Bombyx mori: one gene and its partner. The protein of the gene in region 1 interacts with the protein of each later gene in a pairwise test. Links are inferred from orthologs where the notes say so. Each region holds a gene or a part of one and is shown in the gene's direction. Other genes may lie near its edges.

Region 1 (9,901 bases):
TATAATATTCGAAATCTTTGTAGTATTTTTTTTGTATTAAATAAATCTACAGATTTAACTGTATTTCTGCGTTATGTAGAAGAAATAGTAGAATTATAAGAAATGTAGTAGAATTACAAATTTAAAATGAAGGTCACAATTTTCTCCGTTCAAAAATCAAAAATTTTATGGACAAGGAGAGATCTGTATTCTCAGTACAATTGTTGGCCAGTGCGACAACTGACAAGTCAGGAGAGGGCAATTACGGAACCGGCCCTCTCGACGCTCCCTCTACCGTTACACTGCATTCGCTCAATTGGAAATACATTTTATTATTCCATAATGTTGTATTTCGATTTTAAAGTCGTTAATATAACGTGACAAAAATGTTAGTCGACATTTTACATTATCTCTTTTCTATGTGTGTATACTGTGATAGCATACGTAGAAAAGGAATTCCAAACACAAATCATTCGAAGAAACGCAAGTATATTATCACTCCTGTGTGCTTAGTGCGAGTTTTGTAACGCTATCGATAGCGTAAAAGTAACTCATATTTGTATGCAGTTGGAACAGCGCCCCTAGCGGCAAACGTTCCAACTCCATACAAATACGAGTTAACTTTTACGCTATCGAGAACGTTAAAAAACTCGCACTAAACACACAGATAGTTGATAAGTGCAACAAAGTGACAATGCCATCCACAGTTCGAGAAGTCTGCGAGCCGCCATAACCGCGATCGGCCCTTTCGACCCAGACGTCCTCATTCCATATAATGAATAATATTTCGCGATAACACAGACGTAAAGTAAACTGGAAACTTCGTCGCAACAACTCATCGAGTTTTACGACCGAATAGACCGTAAACCGCAGCGCGAAATTCCCGCAGTAAAGCACTCGGTGTTGCCATCTAAATATATTCTTTAACACCATCCGCTATTTTAAGACGTTCACATTATGTATTTGTGTTACGCGAATTTATATTTAGTGTCACTAGAATGCTTTAATTAACAAACCGGAGTTTGGTATTATTAAGATGGACGCGAACACGCTATAAACTCTAATGTAAGCTTAAATAGCAGTCATCCCACGCGACAACGGAGTGATACGACGATTTGCATTAAATTCTAATTGCAACACACACAGACGACGAAGCAATGATACTCTTATGTAAACTATTGCCTTGTCTATACTAATATTATAAAGAGGAAAGATTTGTTTGTTTTTTGTATTGAATAGGCTCCGAAACTACTGAACCGATTTGAAAAATTCTTTCACTGTTTGGAAGCTACACTATTCCCGAGTGACATTGGTTATAATCTTTTTTGAAAAAAATTAGGGATCCTTACTAAAACTCAAATAATGTAACCCAAGGTGTAACAAAATTTCCTAAAATATTCTTTACATCGCGTGCCCTGCGAAAACTATTGATGATAGAATAAAATAATGTACTACGACTTTGTAGAACACATTATTATTTACAAAAAGTGTCGCGACAGCATAATAATATATCTTACTATTATAGTTATGCCGCAATAAGTGTTCTTTTATTTAAAAAAATAAAATAACGTCAAATATCGTTAAAGACCCGAGCGGAGCCGGAGCGGTCCGCTTGTCTTAAATACATTCGGATACTGTTTTGAACAAAACGTTGTTTGGTGCCTAACCTTTAAAAATGGAATTATTGCGTTAAATTAACGGCCGTCTGGTGTAGTGGTAAGTGACATGGTCACTACACAAGGGGGTCGCGGGTTCAAATCCCGCCAAGGGAAAATATTTGTATAATAAATATAAATATATGTCTTTTCCAGGGTTATGGATGTATATTAAATATATGTATGTGTATAATAAAAATCTTACATTTATTTCCGTTATCTGGTAACCTGTAACACAAGCTCTGTACGAACTTAGCACGGGACCAGCTAACGTGGCGTGATTGTTAGGAAATATTTATTTATTTATTTATTTCAATAGGCATATTTAGTTAGCACACTTTGTGATTTTGATTGCTTGATTTAATTCATTCTCGTGTTCGAGTTCCGAACATGATAGATCCAAGTAATGGTTGGTAAGTTATAAAGCGGACACTCAATCGCTGTCTAGACTCTAGACCGGACTCAGGTCAGCGCTGGGCCATAAACCGCTATATGATACAATCGACCGAGAAAAGCTTTTGGATATTTACAGAGCTAGTTATATGTTAAGATAAACACCGTGGTTGTTTTGTTCCATTAGGCTCTGTGTTTCCGTTTTTACGACAAGACGTGTGAATGTCAAAGAAACACATCGGGTTTTTTTTTGTCAAGCTTCATATGTTCCACACTAGTCCATTTGCAAAATCTTTTTTTTGTACACAATATGGTCTTTAACTGTGAAGTTGTCGTTTTACAATATTAGTAAATTTGAAACTTAATTTATGTAGGTATTGCAGACAATAAATTCTAGATTGAAAAATGAATTTCATTTTAAAAATATAGAATTCTAATTTCAAATTATGTCATTTATTTGTTTATTGATTACGTACTGTTTTCTTTTTATAAAATTTGTAATCTTTTTCATCAATGTGGACAAAATAAAAATACGAGTAAGGATTTCCAGTTCGGCTGCGGAAGCAATGCCGCACAAACGGCTCACAACATTAATGACGTATACAAAGTGCAATACAAACGAAAGCACGACTCATTATTAGTTTGAAAGCTTCCGACAACGAAATTTTTATCTAAAAAATTAACCCCATAGTCGCGTGAAAACTAAAGTCAACAATGGCGATAGTGGAAACCGGCGATAAATACCCAATCTACAGCTGACGTAGCAGCAGCTTTTAACGTTAGCATCCAAACCGAAATTGGTTCATTGGCGATACATATTCGAATCCTAAAACCGTGTTTAAATTTTTTATTATACCAAAACATATTTTCAGACTCGTGCGATGGCGTTCGTTGCGGTGGAGGCAAGCGGTGCATTCAAGACGCAGAGTTTGGTGTTCATTGCGTACGATGTAGTACGTGCAATGTTGCGGGTTCGCTCGTTTGTGCGGTCGACGGCAAAACTTATGCGGGCACGTGCGCGCTTAGACGCGCCGCTTGTGAGCGTGGTCGCGCCTTGCCGCTGGCTTACAAAGGACGTTGCATAGGTTTGTAAATAATAATTCTAAATTTTTTTAATTATGGTATATCACAACATTACGCTAATTGTATATACGTATGTCTGTTTTAGACGACTTAATTTTTTTTTATAACATTAAATCATCATCAACGAAAACACAGCTATAAAAAAATATCGAGATCTGTTTACAACTAGGAATGTAAACTCATTACATACATAAATACCTAAATCGCGAAAGATTTGTTAAGATAAGACGCACTCTTTCTTATACTGATCTATAAAAAGATTTCCATGTCATTTTAGAAATAGATTTATTATTTTAATTTCATTGCCATTTACAAACAAAAAACATGATTTTAGAGTATTGACTTTTTACATTTAATATTGCATAAGAAATGTGACGTCCGTACTTGAAGTTGTGTTTTGTTGAGTTTGTGTTTTTTTTTTCCTACATATTCGCTGATTTAAGGTACGCGGCCTTGGCCTGCGCCGGATGCACCGCAAGCAACGGATTTTATTTTGCTTTGTATTTTTTGCTCATAAATGCCGGTGCATTCGGTGCGGGCGACGCGGACAGTGGCCGCAGCACTATGAGAAAACATACAAAGCAAAATAAAATCCGTTGCGTGTCGTGCGTGCGGTGCGTCCCATTCCCGATCCTGCGGACAGAATGGAAAGCAGTCGACGTCGCCCAAAACACGTCATTTCGGATCCTCCCGATCCACTAACGGTGTTTTTAGGTACCTCAAGTACCGGTCATCGTCCTCGTCGAACCCGTCGCATGCGACGAAGGGCTCGACGAGTAAATTAACCCACAGACACAGCCCACTGAGTTTCTCGCCAGATCTTCTCTGTGGGTCGCGTTTCCGATCCGGTGGTAGATTCTGCGAAGCACGGCTCTTGCTAGGGTTCGTGTTAGCAACGTCGTCAGGTTTGAGCCCCGTGAGCTCACCTACTAGTTAAGGTAACGCTGAAATAGCCTCTCAAGGCTATCGGCTTAGGCAGGAAAAAAAAGGTACGTCCGGCGCGGGCCTATGGACGCATGCCTTAAGGGGTTATCCCAGCTACGCCTGGACGGGAGTTTGTCTGATTGCATAGTTTGGTATGACGCAGCGAACGCGACGTGTTCGAGTGTGTCTTGTTCGAGGGGGCAGCGCTGCGTGTCGGGCGGCGCGAGCGGCGTGCGCTGCGTGTCGTGCGGCACGTGCGCCGGCGGCCGTCGCAAGCCGCTGTGCGGGTCCGACCGCCGCACCTACCCGTCCTGGTGCCGGCTGCAGCGGGCCACTTGCCGCGCTGGCCGGGTCGTGGACCCGCTGCATCGGGGACCTTGCAAAGGTGACTTTACCTACCAAAAAATTCATAACTCCATGTAGTTACCAGTTTTTTTACTCTCTCGATAGCGTAAAAGTGAACTCAAATTTGTTTGGAGTTGGAACAGCGCCACTGGCAACCAACTTAGCAAAACTCGCACCCACATACGCGTGTCAATGTATAACTTTTTCATCCCAACCAATGATGATGATAACACAAGATGAATAACATACACTCTCAAAAAATTCTAATAAAACCATTTTATCCGGTTAATCTTATCGTTTATCATATTCATTCCATTGTTTGAGACGATTCAAATACTTTACAGTTTTCGTGATCACACACAAATGACTGACTCGAATTAAATGAAATAATTAACCGTAAAAATAGTGTCGCGAAAACCAACAAAAAGCTAAGATACTAAAATTAAACAATTCATAATGATCGGTGTATTGATACTTTACTCAACAGTTTCCGGAAGATGTAACTGATATACTTCTATTAATTTTCATTAATTTTCTTTCAGAAGCCGTAAACGTAACGGACAATATGATGACTAATGCGAGAGGTTTAAGCGCACTGGACATGCACGTCCTATAGTCATAGACTCTTCTAGTTTTAGCGTACCAAGCTTCGTAGTCTATTCAATTTGCAAGTGAAACTGTATTCGGCACCTAAGCTCTATTGTAACATTAACTAACATCGTAAAATTGAACAATATTGATTATCTTTGTTTACAACGACATAGTAATATGCTTAGAGTCTAAGAACTAAGCGGCGGTATAGAGATACACAAGGAGAGTTTTTTTGAATCAGTGCAGCGAGATTATGCATACAGTCAAAACCGTTTACTGCGACATCGTTTAATACAACATGCCGGTTATAATAACCAAGAACAAAGGTCCCGGCTGAATGCCATATGACCGCCTTATTAAAAATATTGCTTTCTACGACATTGGTAATAACGACATACCTCATAAAACGACCACATTTAACTAATATTTCGGAGAATTAGATCTGTTAGAACGACCGGCTAAGCTGTATTGTAAACAATTTGAATAGGTATCCACATTTGTCTTCAATGGCTTTTAAAATCACGAAAGAAAACAATAGGATTTAGTTTAGTGTAGGGTCTTTTCTAATTCTTAGAAACAAAACACGTGCATGCGGTAGTCAAAGTCCGCTTCTTCATATTTCTTCAGTTAGTTTGTTACTTATCTATACACAAGACGCACCAAAACTTTGTGGAGTTATTCATGAAACTTTAAAAATGTCACAAAAAAAAAGAAAACAAATTAATATTGAAGAAAAATCGCGTATTATGTAAATATATTTTTCCAATAATACCCTATCGATTTGTTTGTACTTGCACGATACACATTAAACATCACCGGTTGTTACGACTATCGGTTTTTACGACTGAATATGAGCAATCCCTTCGATGTCGTTATAACAGATTTTGACTGTATTATGTTTCAAACAAATAATACCTCAGTTATTCAGACGATGATAAAAATTTCTCGTCAATGGGACGTTCAAAAGCCAAGCTGTCTTTTCAGTTGTAAAACTCTTTTACGCGGAAACTTTCGTTTACATTAGGTACGTAAAAATGTTGTTTTATTCTCGCTGTTATGTTTAATGTTTATTATATTGTACTTATTCGAAGAACTCTTCTAGTGTAAATAAGTCTTTATGCCGGAATTAAAACCTATTCGTCAAAAAGTACGTTGAATACATTAGTGTTTCATAGCGCCAGGTAGTCAGTCATCAAAGTGCCAGGTTATGTTGAATTTCCATAACAATGTAGTCAGTGTAGATTTTAGAAAAATCTGTCGAACCTGATGCACCTTTTCGATTTTTTATAGATAAATAATAATTATTATTATATTAGTTTTAATAACACTTACATTATTAAAATTTTGAGCACCAAATCGTACTTAATATTTAGTCAAAATATTAATTTTAGGTATGTACTGGTAGTTAGCACAATGTTTGGATATTAAATATTTCTAACTTAATGATTACACTGTTATTTCCATATTGTTGAAAGTCGCTGTACAAACGAAGCTCTTAATGATGAAATGATTGACACATTCATCGGACTGACATAAAATGTTCTTTTAAAATTTTTAACTTTTAGTTATTTAAGACTTACTTCACGAAATGCGGTTAAAGCTTATGCAATATTTATTAATAAGTTATGTGTATGATTTTAAGTGCAATAATTTTATAAAAAAAAAAGTGTGGAAATTATGACATATAACATGTTCTTGTTTTGTTTTTAGATTTTTTTTTATTATTAATTTTTTCCGTTTAAACTGGAACGCGTATTGCTTGTTTCGATTCGGTTTTGAACACGTTCAGAATGTTATAAAAATACGTTTTCAGTATTATGTCGAGATAAGATTTTAGGACTTTAATTTTCGAAACTTTTTTACATTGAAAATGAAGTGGTTTTTTTTTTGTAGGCTGTAAGTATAATAATAATTTATTGTTTATTTTTTAAATAATATTCAAAATGTCTCCAATTTTCATGGATGTGTGTATGTGTGTTAAACCGAGGAATTAATTTGTGAAAATGTATGCATTGGCGTTTTTTTTTTTTTCGTATGCTTAAAAGTGTAGAAGGCGAACGTCAAATGGAAAGATAGACTGCGTAAGAACGTGATGCCAAATTTAAGATTAGGAACAAAAACTTTTTTTTTTTGTTGAAGCATAATTTTCAAACCATGACATTTCGATTTATTTGGATAGGAGTCTTCTTTGGCTTCGAAATTTTATTTTTGTATATTTTTTTAGATAGGTAGCATATTTTAATATGTTACGACGGTCCATAGAGCAGTAAGCCACAAAACTAAATTAACAAATACGATCTTAATTGTGTACTTAAAACTTTCATCAACAGTGATAAATTTGTACATAGAAAAACGGTTCAATTTTAAAATCATTTCCATCAGTTGAAGCCCCATCGAACTTTTCAACTGTATCGAACAGCTTAAGAAAGATATTTGAGATATCATTGAAGCATATAACAGAACTAATCATTGTGAAAACATGTTAAAAGACATTACCTAAATCGAACGAAGCGACTTTAATTATTTTCACAAAAAAAATTGTTTAAACAACACTATTTAATAATTTCTCAATTTAATGTTAACGAAACACTCTAAAATCTAAAAATAGATATGAATGGTCCCAATGAAAAAAAGTAACAAAACAATATTCAAAGGGTTTTTTTTTAATATTCAAAACTATTTAATAATTAATATCGAATTTGGTACAACTAACCATTTGGTGTTCTACGGTTATTTAGGTATGCACGGTCTCATAATCAGCACGATTACTACTTCAACGCCTCATTAAATTAAAATTAGATTAAACATCGTCAGAATAGAAAATTAAAATGGAAATACATGTTAAAAATTTTAATGTCATTTATAAATTCTAAATTTACTAAAAAAATTCAAGTAAAATTTAATATTTTATTTTATTGTTCGTTTTTCATTCAAGATGTACAGTCGAATAACTCAAATATTATTTCGGAAGTTGGATTTCGTAATTGATAGCTGGTTTCTCTTAAGTATTTTCTCAGCTTCAGAATCAGGAGCTGTGTAAGGCATAGATTGTATAATAATTCTATAATATTGTAATAAATTGTTTAAAACCCGTTAACATAAGACTTAAAACTGTTTAATCTAAAATTGATATTGGAATAGTAAAATTCATTTATTCCTTTTTAATGTCTGGCTTTTTGACTAATAAATGTTGTAGACTTCTAGTAATCTAGATAACTTATAATATATTGCCCTGTTTCTTCATAAATATTTTACATTGAACTTGTACTTTTATTTCAGTCCTTCGAAAATCCTTTTTGTTTTGTATTGTGAATTTAATATAACAAACCAAATACCCAATCCTGGCCTGGCCCTCCCGACACCATTGCTAGTATCTCGTCACCAATTAAGCGCGGTAACTCCATTCCATCAAAATATTTGGCCAGCCCATACCGTGAGCTTCGAAGTCAAAGTACCTAGGCGTCATCCTCGACAGAGGGATGACATTCGGTCCCCAGATTAAATCAGTACTCTACAGAGCCGCGTTCCTTCTCGGTCGACTCTACCATGGGATAGAGAGGGCTGCAAGCGAAGTAAATTGTCCCTTCGTAACAAGGTGACACTCTACAAAACTTGTATACGTTCTGTCACGGCATGACCTACGCAAGTGTAGTATTCGCTCACGCGGCCCGTACTCACATTAACTCTGTACACACATCGCTGGCGGCCTCGCTCGGCCTGCACGCGCCTAGTCTCCTCTTGACTAGTTTAGTTTCTTCATTGGGCAATGATACTCGTGTGTTTGGAGTGAACATTTTTTTTCCTACCTAAGCTGATAGCCTTGAGAGGCTATTTCAGGGAAACCTTAACTAGTAGGTGAGCTCACGGGGCTCAAACCTGACGACGTTGCTAACACGAACCCTAGCAAGAGCCGTGCTTCGCAGAATCTACCACCGGATCGGAAACGCGACCCACTGAGAAGATCCGGCGAGAAACTCAGTGGGCTTTGTCTGTGGGTTAATTTACTCGTCGAGGCCTTCGTCGCAAGCGACGGGTTCGACGAGAACGATGACCGGTAAGGAGTGAACATGATGGAATTAGTTATTAAATATTATGACCGCGGTGCCGCGAGCGGCCTTGTGTCGCCGCTGGCAGCCGCGGGCAGTACCATCGACAAGACACACACGGCGCGCGGCTGTTCGCTTCACCGCGGGCGGGCGGCGGCTGTGTCGGAACCTTTTCAAGCGATACTGATCTTTTAAGTATATAGATAAAGTTTAAAATTGTTTCACACTGGAAGTGCTCGCCGCGACGCTGCCGGCCGCTGCCATTCCGGTGTGACTCGGCCCTTATTATTTTACACGCAGCGCGTTCAAGCATTCTTAATGACAAAAAAAGTGCACATGCAATAATAAACTTTACTATAATTACTCAGAACTCTGTTTCCCATGTGACAAAAATTTGGTCACCTCTACGAGCCGGTCTGTGTGAACGGACCTTTCCTCTCTCAGCAGGCAAGGTGTATTACGAATAAAAAACTTTATTTCTGATCATTTAATTCACAATCCATAAAGTACAAAATACAATTTACCTTCTTAAAGTCCAGTTTTTTAAAAGTAACTCACAAATAGGAATGTAGTGAACTGTTTTTCTCTATCAGACATTGGCCCTGATGGTTTTAACTAAATTGTTTCAAGCCAATAAAATAAAATTACGTTCCATAGACACTTCTAGTACGAATTTCAAAAATATAACTCGCCCCAATTTAGGGCATGTAGGATGTCAATATAAATACTTTAACTTAAAAATTCAATCTTGTTCACAGAAACGTTTTTTTTGTATATCTATCTGTTTATAATTAGTTAAACTATACTGAGAACTTAGAACTTTTATCTCAAGGTGTGTGGCGCATTTACGTCGTAGATGTCTATGGGTTCCAGTAACCACTTAAC
Region 2 (10,582 bases), on another chromosome or scaffold:
GATGTTGGTTCACATAATGCCCACTAAAACTGAAACTTCAATTTTGCACAACTAAGCAACTGCTTACAGTTTCAAAATTTGTTTAAAAAAGACAGGACTCTGTGGGGATTTCATTCCAGAACACAGTGTTTCCAGGTGATATGGATAAACTCTGCGCGATGTGATTAGATAAATTAGAGAGATTGACTAATCTCAAAAAATACGTTAGAGCACTCCCCGTCTGTGAGGAGGCAGTCTTCTCCCGGTGATTGTCACAGGGCGACCTGAGGGAGTTGAGGCTGCGCCGCACGCTACCTTCACTCTAGCGCGCTGGCACCAGGAGGACGGGACGACGCGTTGGCGGCTGCGGCCTGCGAAACGGCCTGCGTTGTCGTCGTCGCTGTCGTCGCCAAACTGACTGTGGAAGAGCAACCCGGTCGGCGGTATATCGCGTTCCGACCCAGCAGGCTGGTTCTAGCCCAGCGGGGTATCCTGGAACACCAGCGGCATCGCCCGGGCGGCCTGATAGGGCCGCCGTACCGCGGAGACCAACGTCATGGTCGTCGACTATCCCCTCGACGACCCGTCGGTCGGACGTCCTCTGGGTGGCGCCGCGAATCTGGTTGTAGTGTTGACCGCGGGAACCTCCCTACTCTGACCGAGTTCTGACCCCGGACGAAGATCGGACGTCGGGTGTAAGAGTGCAGGGGAGTCGCTTAGTGCGGTAGGGCCCTAAAATTCCTTGAGCCCGCGGTCTGCTCCCAACACCTTGCAGATAGTCAAGTCCCACATACCCCGCACGCCCCCTAGGCGCGGGGACCTCGTAGGTGGTTCGGACAATAATGAATAATGTTAAATCAAAGAATGTCAAACATCATCAATAAATACATTTTTATGGTTTAATATTTAATGAAACACAAGTAATGAAAATACACATATTATTATGTTACAAAAATCTTTGTGTTGGGAAAAGAGTGTATCTATCCAGCTCATTATAAAATAAAATTAAAGTTTGAAAAAATCTACACGTTTTTAATCATCATAGTTTTGAAATAATACTAAGACTATAATATCCAGATAATATCATTGTGATATTGTTTGGGTGTGTCTTACCTTACAACCCATCCTGTGGAACATAGTTTCATGGCCTCTACTTGAAAGCTTGAAAAGGACCGAAAGTGTTTTCTGGAGGCTCGACAAAGTATTGGTATGAAGAAAACTCTGTACATGTTTATAACGGATAAGAGCTCTTCCTTTAGAGAAATTGCTTTAGTCCCTGCAAAAACATCAGACCTACATGTTCATGGTAAATTGTGATACTGAAATCAAAGTACCTATATTGAACCTTTTTCAATGTCTTTATTGAAAACAGGTATGTTACTTTATGATTTGTGAAAGCTGTGGTAGTGAATGATGCCATTTTATTGTAATATGGATCCGATGATTGTGGCTACCAGCTTTGAGAGGCAGACACGAAGTTCCTTGTGACTTGTTTGCCTACCTATTGTCAGTAACTTTGAGGGGTCATGCTAACTTCACCGAACGCGTAGGAGAGCATACTTTGGCTCAGCCTGGAAGACTTTGCTAACATCTGTCCTAGCAAAAGCAGAACTTCGCTGAATCTTCCACCGGATCGGAACCGCGGCTCACTGGAAGATCCGGCGAGATACTCAGTGAGGTTTTCTTGTGACCGAATTATTTGTCATCAAGCATAAATGTTAGGTGACGGACTGCTTATTTATGAAGATGTTTTTAAATACGATTCCAACATTTCGAAAACAATATGCTAATCTTCATTTACTGAGAAACACAATTATTATTTTCTCAGATCTATCACGGTGACAAGACAACCGAGCCAAGGGTATGATTCATTAATAAAAAAGAGCATGGCGTCATTTAAAACAAGAATTTAACATATTTTGTTTCGCTCCTGTCAAATGCATTAAAGTTGAAAAGAGACGGCGATATTAACATTGTCTCGTTCTGTTGAGGAAAATTCAAATTCAGAACGCTTCGAGCCGAGCTATTCTGATTCAGTAATAAGTTTGGCGCCAAATCGACTGTACGTTGTCACTTGCGTGTTTCTTATTTGCATTTTAAACTGTGATATTATTTTTAGTTTCAATTTATCTGGTGAGTGTTCAATATTATATTAAGTTTGTATCGGAGCTCGGGTGTCAATAAAAATAAGGTCTACGTCTTTTGGTCTTAAAATTATTTTATACCTTCGCTTCCAAATTCGAACAATTATTCACACACATTTTGGAGTATGTACATAGCAACCTCTAATTTATTGTGTTTCTAGCTACATAGAATTTTTCCGGCTTAAAATTGATTTTCAATGTCGAATTCGTAATGTAATATGTCTTTGGAGCATGAAATCTGTTTGAGAAATTGTATAGGAGTAGGAAAAAACTTAGATCCGTATGCAAACGGGATTCCAGAAGATTTTATGTGAACTAGACCGGTTCTGTCCTTTGATTAAAATGTACCTACCATTCGTAGCCGCAATATACGCGCCACGTGTAGTTTATCTGGGATGTAGGTACCTTGATTTTGAACCGTTTACAAAACTATAAGGTCGTAAAGGTTTTAAATTGAAAATTCTCGAGAAACAATACATAAGTACGCTCTCTCTCTCTCTCTCGCGTCTTTCACTATAAATTTGATCTCGACGCGGCCTATTGCTAATTGCATGTAAATCACGATGGTTTTTAGTGGGGACACTACAAGGATATGAACTAATTTAGACTATGAACTATCGATACTTCCTTATATATTATAAATGGGATGTGTGTTTCTCCTTTTTTTTGACGTCGAAACAAACTGATGGATTGTAGTTTTTTTTTAAATAACCGCATGTATTTAGGAGAATGACATTGGGTAACCTTTTATACCGAAAAAAATGTCAATATCACCGGAAACTACACTGATCCTTTTCCTTGACCACGCAGACGAAGCCGTGGGTAACAGCTAATGATATAGAATAGAATCATGATGATTTTCATTTGCTGTCTTGACCTATGAGGCGTGATATGGTTTCGCTCGAGTTACCACCAAACTAGGTACCTATTTATGTGACGTGAAAGCTGTGTTATTGTTATGCAATTGAGAACTTGATTTAATATCAAAGCTAGTTATATATTACGTAGTCTCGGTAACTACAATGTACATCAGATTAGATGAACCGTGAGATTTGTTTTTTTTGCAAAACTATAAAATAATTCAAAGAATCCAAATTCTAGCAATCTAAACTTTAGGGCTATCGCTTAGGTCTACTTTAGGCTCTAAAGCGAACGTCAAAGACCTGCGAGTATAATTAAATAAAAACATTATAGTTATTTTCTTTTCTTCCCGGCCTTTTCATCTTCGACCACAGAGCTCCAGACAAATGACGCGCCTCCTTAGGAACTTTGTAAAAGATTCAGGTTTTCCCCGCCCAAAAATGTTTTTATTTTTCTAGTCTAAATGCGTTGCTTTAAAGTTGCAAGTGTATATAAGTAAACTGGTCGCTAAAAGACCGGTTTTTTTATAAACCCCCAACTTTAGTGGCTCGGAGGCCTTTCCAGCTTCATCGGAAGGAGTGGGTGAACTCACAGGCTCTAGGCCTGTAAACTAAGCCTTTATTTGTCTCTCTTTAAGGTTTCAAATCTTTTGATCGTTCCAAAAGTTCCAGATATTTCTATAGTTTATAAGAGGCCCGTCCGCTAACTAATACCCACGTATCTGACATGGCGTATTGCACTCTGCAAGGTTTTCCATTTGTACTTATCGATCGCCGACGACCTTGTCAAACGTAACTAAGACCTATCGGACCGACACAAAGCTGGTTATTTGATACGGACATTATTTATTCAGAATATAACCGGTTTTTTTGTTGTGTTTACGTTCACACGGATAATGACTTTGGCAATAGAACGTATTGTTTAAGACGTCGAATTGGAATTTTGGTTAATGTCGTGATTGTGTATTAGTAAATACTAGAGGTCCCGCAGTAGTCGAAATTCGACTATAATTAATTGGAATTGTAAGTTTGTACACTATTATGATTGTATTTTATACTTCTATAATCACAAATTTCGCCAAGACTACACTATAAAAAATATTAACAAAGACAATGTTTAATCTATTCTCAATTTGACAACAGACGCCAAGAACAAAAGTTTGACAATAAATAGTATGCATGCGTGTGTGCGTCAAATACATGGTATGTAGTGTGTGTAATGTTTTCTTTATTGATTAAATGTATCTTTTATGCATTATTTTAAAAATATATTAGCATTGTGCATTTCTTCTCTATATTCTCTATAAGTGTGGGGAATTTCATACTCCTCCGTCCGCGCAATTTTCATAAAAAGGAATACAAAGTTTTTGCTTCACGTATTAATATATAGATATGGCTGCTATTTTATCGTAACATCTGAGCGAGCAGTTCTTATAGTGAAGACGAAAAGCCAAGTCAAACGAACGACCAGACTACAAAATGATTTAATAAATTAATAAACGTATAATTTTTAAAGCATATAGTTAATTTTACAATTAACCTAATATCTTAGTACTCTTTAGTGAATCCCTATTAGTTTTCTTCAGTGGACGAGTTCACGGACCACCTAGTTTTGAGTGATTATCCTGTAATACGTACTTTTATCCACTCACATATTTTCTCCGCGTGTCCTAACGTGCCTCATTTCCACTACAGTCATTGCTCCCATATACGTTAGTGAAAATGAAAAGTTTGAAGTATTCGAAACTTAAAAAACAATATCGAGGGGTGTATCGGGTGAGGGGGTGGTTGTAACCAAAAGATCCGTTTTATTTGGTATTAGTATCAAAAAGTTCGATGTTTTTTAATTGAACTTCAATTAAGCTTACTCCATTCAAATTGCTGAAGTTTTTTTTCGAAATGTTAAATTTTTAAATGGCTCGAAAGTTGCAAAAATGACGCGCTTATACCAAACTAGCGGCCCGTTCCGGCTCCGCTCGGGTCTTTGACAAAGATTTCGATGATATTTGACGTTGTTTTATTTTTTTAAATAAAAGCACACTTATTACGGCATAACTATAATAGTTAGACATATGCTGTCGCGACACTTTTTGTAAATAATAATGTGTTCTACAAAGTCGTAGTATATTATTTTTTTCTATCATCAATAGTTGTCGCAGGGCACGCGATGTAAAGAAAATTTTAGGTAATCTTTTTACTCCTTGGGTTACATTATTGGAGTTTTAGTAAGGATCCCTAATCAAAAAACATTATAGCTTATGTAACTCGGGATTAGTGTAGCTTCCAAACAGTGAAATAATTTTTCAAATCGCTTCAGTAGTTTCGGAGCCTATTCAACACAAACAAACAAATTTTTCCTCTTTATAATATTAGTATAGATAACCCCTTCACATCTCTATATGTAGTTTAAAAAGATCTCGGCTTAACTATATAGTTTTAACGTCGCTTGTCCACAGCCCAAGATGTCCATTCACATCAAAGATTCCGACGACCTGAAGACAAGGCTGGCGGAAGCAGGCGACAAGCTCGTCGTGATCGACTTCATGGCGACCTGGTGCGGACCGTGCAAGATGATCGGGCCTAAACTGGACGAGATCGCCGCCGAAATGTCAGATTCCATCGTCGTTGTGAAGGCGAGTCCTTTTTTTTTCTACCTATCTATTTGCTGGTAGCCTAAGGATCTTATTTCAGCTACGCGCGGACGGGCAGGTGAGCCTCACGGGCACAACTTGAGGAATTTGCTAACAGCCCTAATAAGAACAGTGCTTCGCTGAATCTACCACCGGATCGGAATCGCGACCCACTGATAAGTCGTCGTTTGAAGTCGTGGCCTAAAGGATAAGACGTCCGTACCAATTGTTCTAATGAAATACGTACTCAACAAATGTTCACGATTGACTTCCACGGTGAAGGAATAACATCGTGTAATAAAAATCAAACCCGCAAAATTATAATTTGAGTAATTACTGGTGGTAGGACCTCTTGTGAGTCCGCGCGGGTAGGTACCACCGCCCTGTCTATTTCTGCCGTGAAGCAGTCATGCGTTTCGGTTTGAAGGGTGGAGCAGCCGTTGTAACTATACTGAGACCTTAGAACTTATATCTCAAAGTGGGTGGCGCATTTACGTTGTAGATGTCTATGGGCTCCAGTAACCACTGAACACCAGGTGGGCTGTGAGCTCGTCCACCAATCTAAGCAATAAATTTTTTTTTGCTAAAAGCCCTAATTAGAGCAGTCCTTCGCTAAATCTACCACCGGATCGGAATCGCGACCCATTGAGAAGATCCGGCGAGAAACTCAGCGGCTCAGACTAAGCTAGACTAGATAATAGTATCTTTTTCATTCTAGAGCTCTTACCGAGGACTTGTAAATATTCTAGTTATCTTTATAACCATGCCCGAATCGTAAATTGAAATAAACGGGTGTTCATTAAAAATAAACCTTTTCTTCAAAACACTTGTATGTAAAGCAACGCGTCTTATATCTACATATCATTCTTAATATACTAAAGCCTACGTAATAGTTTATATGTTGTCATTGTGATAGCATTCACGCTATCTAACTCGGTAACAAATCTCAAAAACAATTATTATACGAAAGTTAAGATGATTTCTATTTCAATAATTTCAATAATATCTTGAACACAACTGACGACAACTGAGAAATTTGAAAGACCTCTAACTTAATCAAGTCTAAAAGGATTTACCTACAAATTCACCTCACTGGTGGTAGGACCTCTTGAGAGTCCGCGCGGGTAGGTACCACCTCCCCGCCTATTTCTGCCGTGAAGCAGTAATGCGTTTCGGTTTGAAGGGTGGGGCAGCCGTTGTAACTATACTTGAGACCTTAGAACTTATATCTCAAGGTGGGTGGCGCATTTACGTTGTGGATGTCTATGGGCTCCAGTAACCACTTAACATCAGATGGGCTGCGAGCTCGTCCACTCAACTAAGCAATAAAAATAATAATAATTGGATTGTCGAATTTAAAAATCTTCGTACAATACTTGTGTGCGATGCTGTCAATAATTTAAATCAAAATATTTTAAATCGGCAACTGCTTGCTTTGATATTACATAGTTTATATATATATAAAAATAAAATGTTTCTAAAAAAAAACCCAGCAATAAATGTTATCAGAATTGTAATGTTCACTTAAACGTTATCAATAATGCCGCGATAATTTAGTAAGATTGTAAATATAGTTTGGTTGTTATCACGAAAACGTCGATTGCACGCGACCGCATGAGAATCACTACAATATGTAACTTAAGAAATAAACTTATTTGTCGAAGTACATTCAATTAACATTATTAACAGTTTCGTATCTTTGAAAGTCGTCGTGGCCTAAAGGATAAGACGTCCGGTGCATTCGTATGTAGCGATGCACCGATGTTCGAATCCCGCAGGCGGGTACCAATTTTTCTAATGAAATACGTACTCAACAAATGTTCACGATTGACTTCCACGGTGAAGGAATAACATCGTGTAATAAAAATCAAACCCGCAAAATTATAATTTGCATAATCACTGGTGTTAGGACCTCTTGTGAGTCCGCACGGGTAGGTACCACCGCCCCGCCTATTTCTGCCGTGAAGCAGTAATGCGCTTCGGTTTGAAGGGTGGGGTAGCCGTTGTAACTATACTGAGACCTTATAATAATAATAATAAAATAAAAATAATAAAAATCATTTATTGCCTTTCACATCACAGAAAATAAAATGAAATACAAATAAAAGAAAAGAAAAAAAAGAGAAAAAGGCAAAAGGAGGTGGCTCAGCTATTGCTGTTCGAGGTTGATAAATCGAACAGCGCTGATTTTCAGTCACCCCCGTTTCCCCTTGGTTCTTTGCGGGAATGAAGGCTAATTACGTGTGTACATACTTAGAATATGGTATAAATTAGTAAAACTAGTAAATTATAAAAATTTAAGAAAAAAACAAAACAAAAATCAAATTAAATATTGAACCCGAATACATACATATATAACATAATAAGCACACAGTAACAACACCCCGTAGGCAGCCCACAACGAAACAACAAATAAAATAAAATAAAGCACGATAATACTATTACTAATACTGACAAGCAGCACAACATTTACACTTGTACATAAAAAATAAATAAAAATAACTTTAATAAAAGGAGGTTTTCAAAAGCAAGGATAAAACTAGTTCCTATAAATACTATAAATTAAATTAGTTTTTGTGAATCCAATAGAAATGATTTAGAACTTATATCTCAAGGTGGGTGGCGCATTTGCGTTGTAGATGTCTATGGGCTCCAGTAACCACCTAACACCAGGTGGGCTGTGAGCTCGTCGACCCATCTCAGCAATAAAAAAAAATATGTAGAAGTATGTAGAAATTAATCAGAATCTTTAGAAAAGTTTCTCGGGTTCTTCTAAAAAGACTATACTAGCAAATTCTCTCAGCGTTGAACTAACAAGTAATTTCATTTGACTTTTCCCCTAAAACATACGGCTTCGATCCTATATACATAATGTATACTAATATATATAATTCTACAGTGGTTTTTACGGATGTTCCGTTATAACTACTGAACCATGCATCCGATTGACTTGAAACTTGGTATCCATGTAGAAAATACATGTACTTAATGGATAGGCTAATATTTATATTAGTGTTGGACTCCCTGCACCAGTTGCGGGGGCGTTAATGATGAGAATTTTTGTGTTGGAGAGAAATAAATATTAAATGCCCAGCGAAGCGGACGGGTACAGCTGGTTACATAATAAATATGTCTTGCGAATGTACGCGACATACGTATGTTCTATAGCGTTTATTAAACTAATTAGTTTTTTATTAACTATTAACAAACTAACTCCTCCCACGTCATGCCCAAGACCCCTAGCTCCTGCTCCACCGAGCGACGCCAAGTTGTTCTGGGGCGGCCTCTCTTCCTTTTGCCAGACACTTTCCAGGTCAGTGCTTTCTTTGATAGGTGGGTATCGGGCTTTCTCAAAGTGTGGGAGGAGTTAGAACAGACTGCCCAAGACCGATATAAATGGAAAAAATTTGATTCGAGCCCTACACCCCAGCAGAGGGTAATAGGAAAGAATGATGATGATGATTAACAAACTAACTACTAACACTACTACTACTAATAAACTAGTTAGTTTGGTGATTTGAGGTTTTTTTTTGGTACATTTCCTTCCTAATGTAAGGGGCCTATTTGCCTGCAGCAAAAGTATAGCTTTACAGTTGTAGTCCACTTTTTTGTGGCCCTAGACAACAAATCAATTCTAAACTGTCAAGATTTGTAGCCAGTTCAAAATGTTTAAAAAAAAACTTATTGTCTTAGCCTATATTTCGATTCGTTATGTATTTATAGCCGTTGTTCCGTTTGCCTGTTACAAATGAACGATATTTTTAATTTTCATAGAAAACGCTCTTAAGGCCACTGTTTTAACTCTCGTCACCGTGATATGCAAAATATTAAGACGAATTGAATGACAATCACGATAGATCAAGGTGTAATGAAATATTACGCAATAATAAGAAACACGATGGAAAGAAAAAAACACTTTTAAAATAGGTATTTACTGTTCGCTCAATTATACATCAAAATTGTGTTTTAAGTTTTGCTGATGATGATGATAATAATAATGCCAAAGTTTCCCGTAAAATCTCTTAATTTTTTTTTATCTGGCAGTTTTGATTAACAAATTTTTTTGTCCTGCTGTAGAAGTTTTTTTCCAAAATTTAAACTTTAAATGCCTCTTCTGTAAAGTTGCAAAAAGGACGCGCTTATACCAAAAAAGCTTTTCACCCCTCAATAGGTATATGTAGTTCAAAAAGATCTCGGCTTAACTAGTTTTAATATGGCTTGTCCACAGCCCAAACAAATCAAGAATACGGATATAATAAACTTGCTACACTAGTCTGGCCATCATAAGTGCGTTTGACCGCTTACCGTTCCTTCGGTCGATCAATAAAACCATTCCGTTTGCTTGCCTAAGGTCACAGGGTGACTCATAATTCTGACGAAATACCGTGGACCGCGCACTCCCAATAAACATGGAAGTAATGAGTTTCTAATTGCGGAAAATCAACTAAATATGGCTGTTGCTACGATGTGTTATATAAAATTAACTAGCGACCCGCCCTCGCTTCACTTCGGAAACTGTAATTTATTATTGATTTCTCCACTATTTAATGGATGTTATCATACATATAAACCTTCCTCTTTAATCACTCTATCTATTAAAAAAAACCGCATCAAAATCCGTTGCGTACTTTTAAAGATTTAAGCATACATAGGGCTATAGGGACAGAGAAAGCGACTTTGTTTTATACTATGTAGTGATGCCGTATCGTGTCCTTTTTCCCCTTACCTAATCGCCTGAAGCCGCGGGGGCTATTCCACCTACGCACGCTTTGGAAGGTGAGATCAGGGAATTCAAGTGCTTCGCTGAATCTACCGTCAGATTGGAACCGCGTAACTCGTTTTTTGGGCTCCTCAAATCCGAAGATATGAACGAGAATGGTTACGAATATCATGTCGATGATTATGCACAATCTGAACACAATAACTTAATTATCTAATCTAAAAATAAAGAGCAGACAGTCTGCGCCAA

The links.
Region 2: the proteins of follistatin-A (region 1) and thioredoxin-like protein interact in binary tests that used the Homo sapiens proteins (3 or more experiments, as listed by UniProt). The link is inferred for Bombyx mori from reciprocal best matches to the Homo sapiens genes FST and TXN.

The regions. Positions count from the first base shown.
Region 1 is NC_085125.1:5,661,431-5,671,331, reverse strand, and holds the end of follistatin-A, read left to right. Parts: intron 1-2,899; coding exon 2,900-3,112; intron 3,113-4,197; coding exon 4,198-4,419; intron 4,420-4,921; coding exon 4,922-4,995; 3' UTR 4,996-8,231; downstream 8,232-9,901. UniProt on the Homo sapiens protein: Multifunctional regulatory protein whose primary function is to antagonize members of the transforming growth factor beta (TGF-beta) superfamily including activin, myostatin, GDF11 or bone morphogenetic proteins (BMPs).
Region 2 is NC_085130.1:3,049,831-3,060,412, reverse strand, and holds the start of thioredoxin-like protein, read left to right. Parts: upstream 1-5,445; coding exon 5,446-5,616; intron 5,617-10,582. UniProt on the Homo sapiens protein: Participates in various redox reactions through the reversible oxidation of its active center dithiol to a disulfide and catalyzes dithiol-disulfide exchange reactions.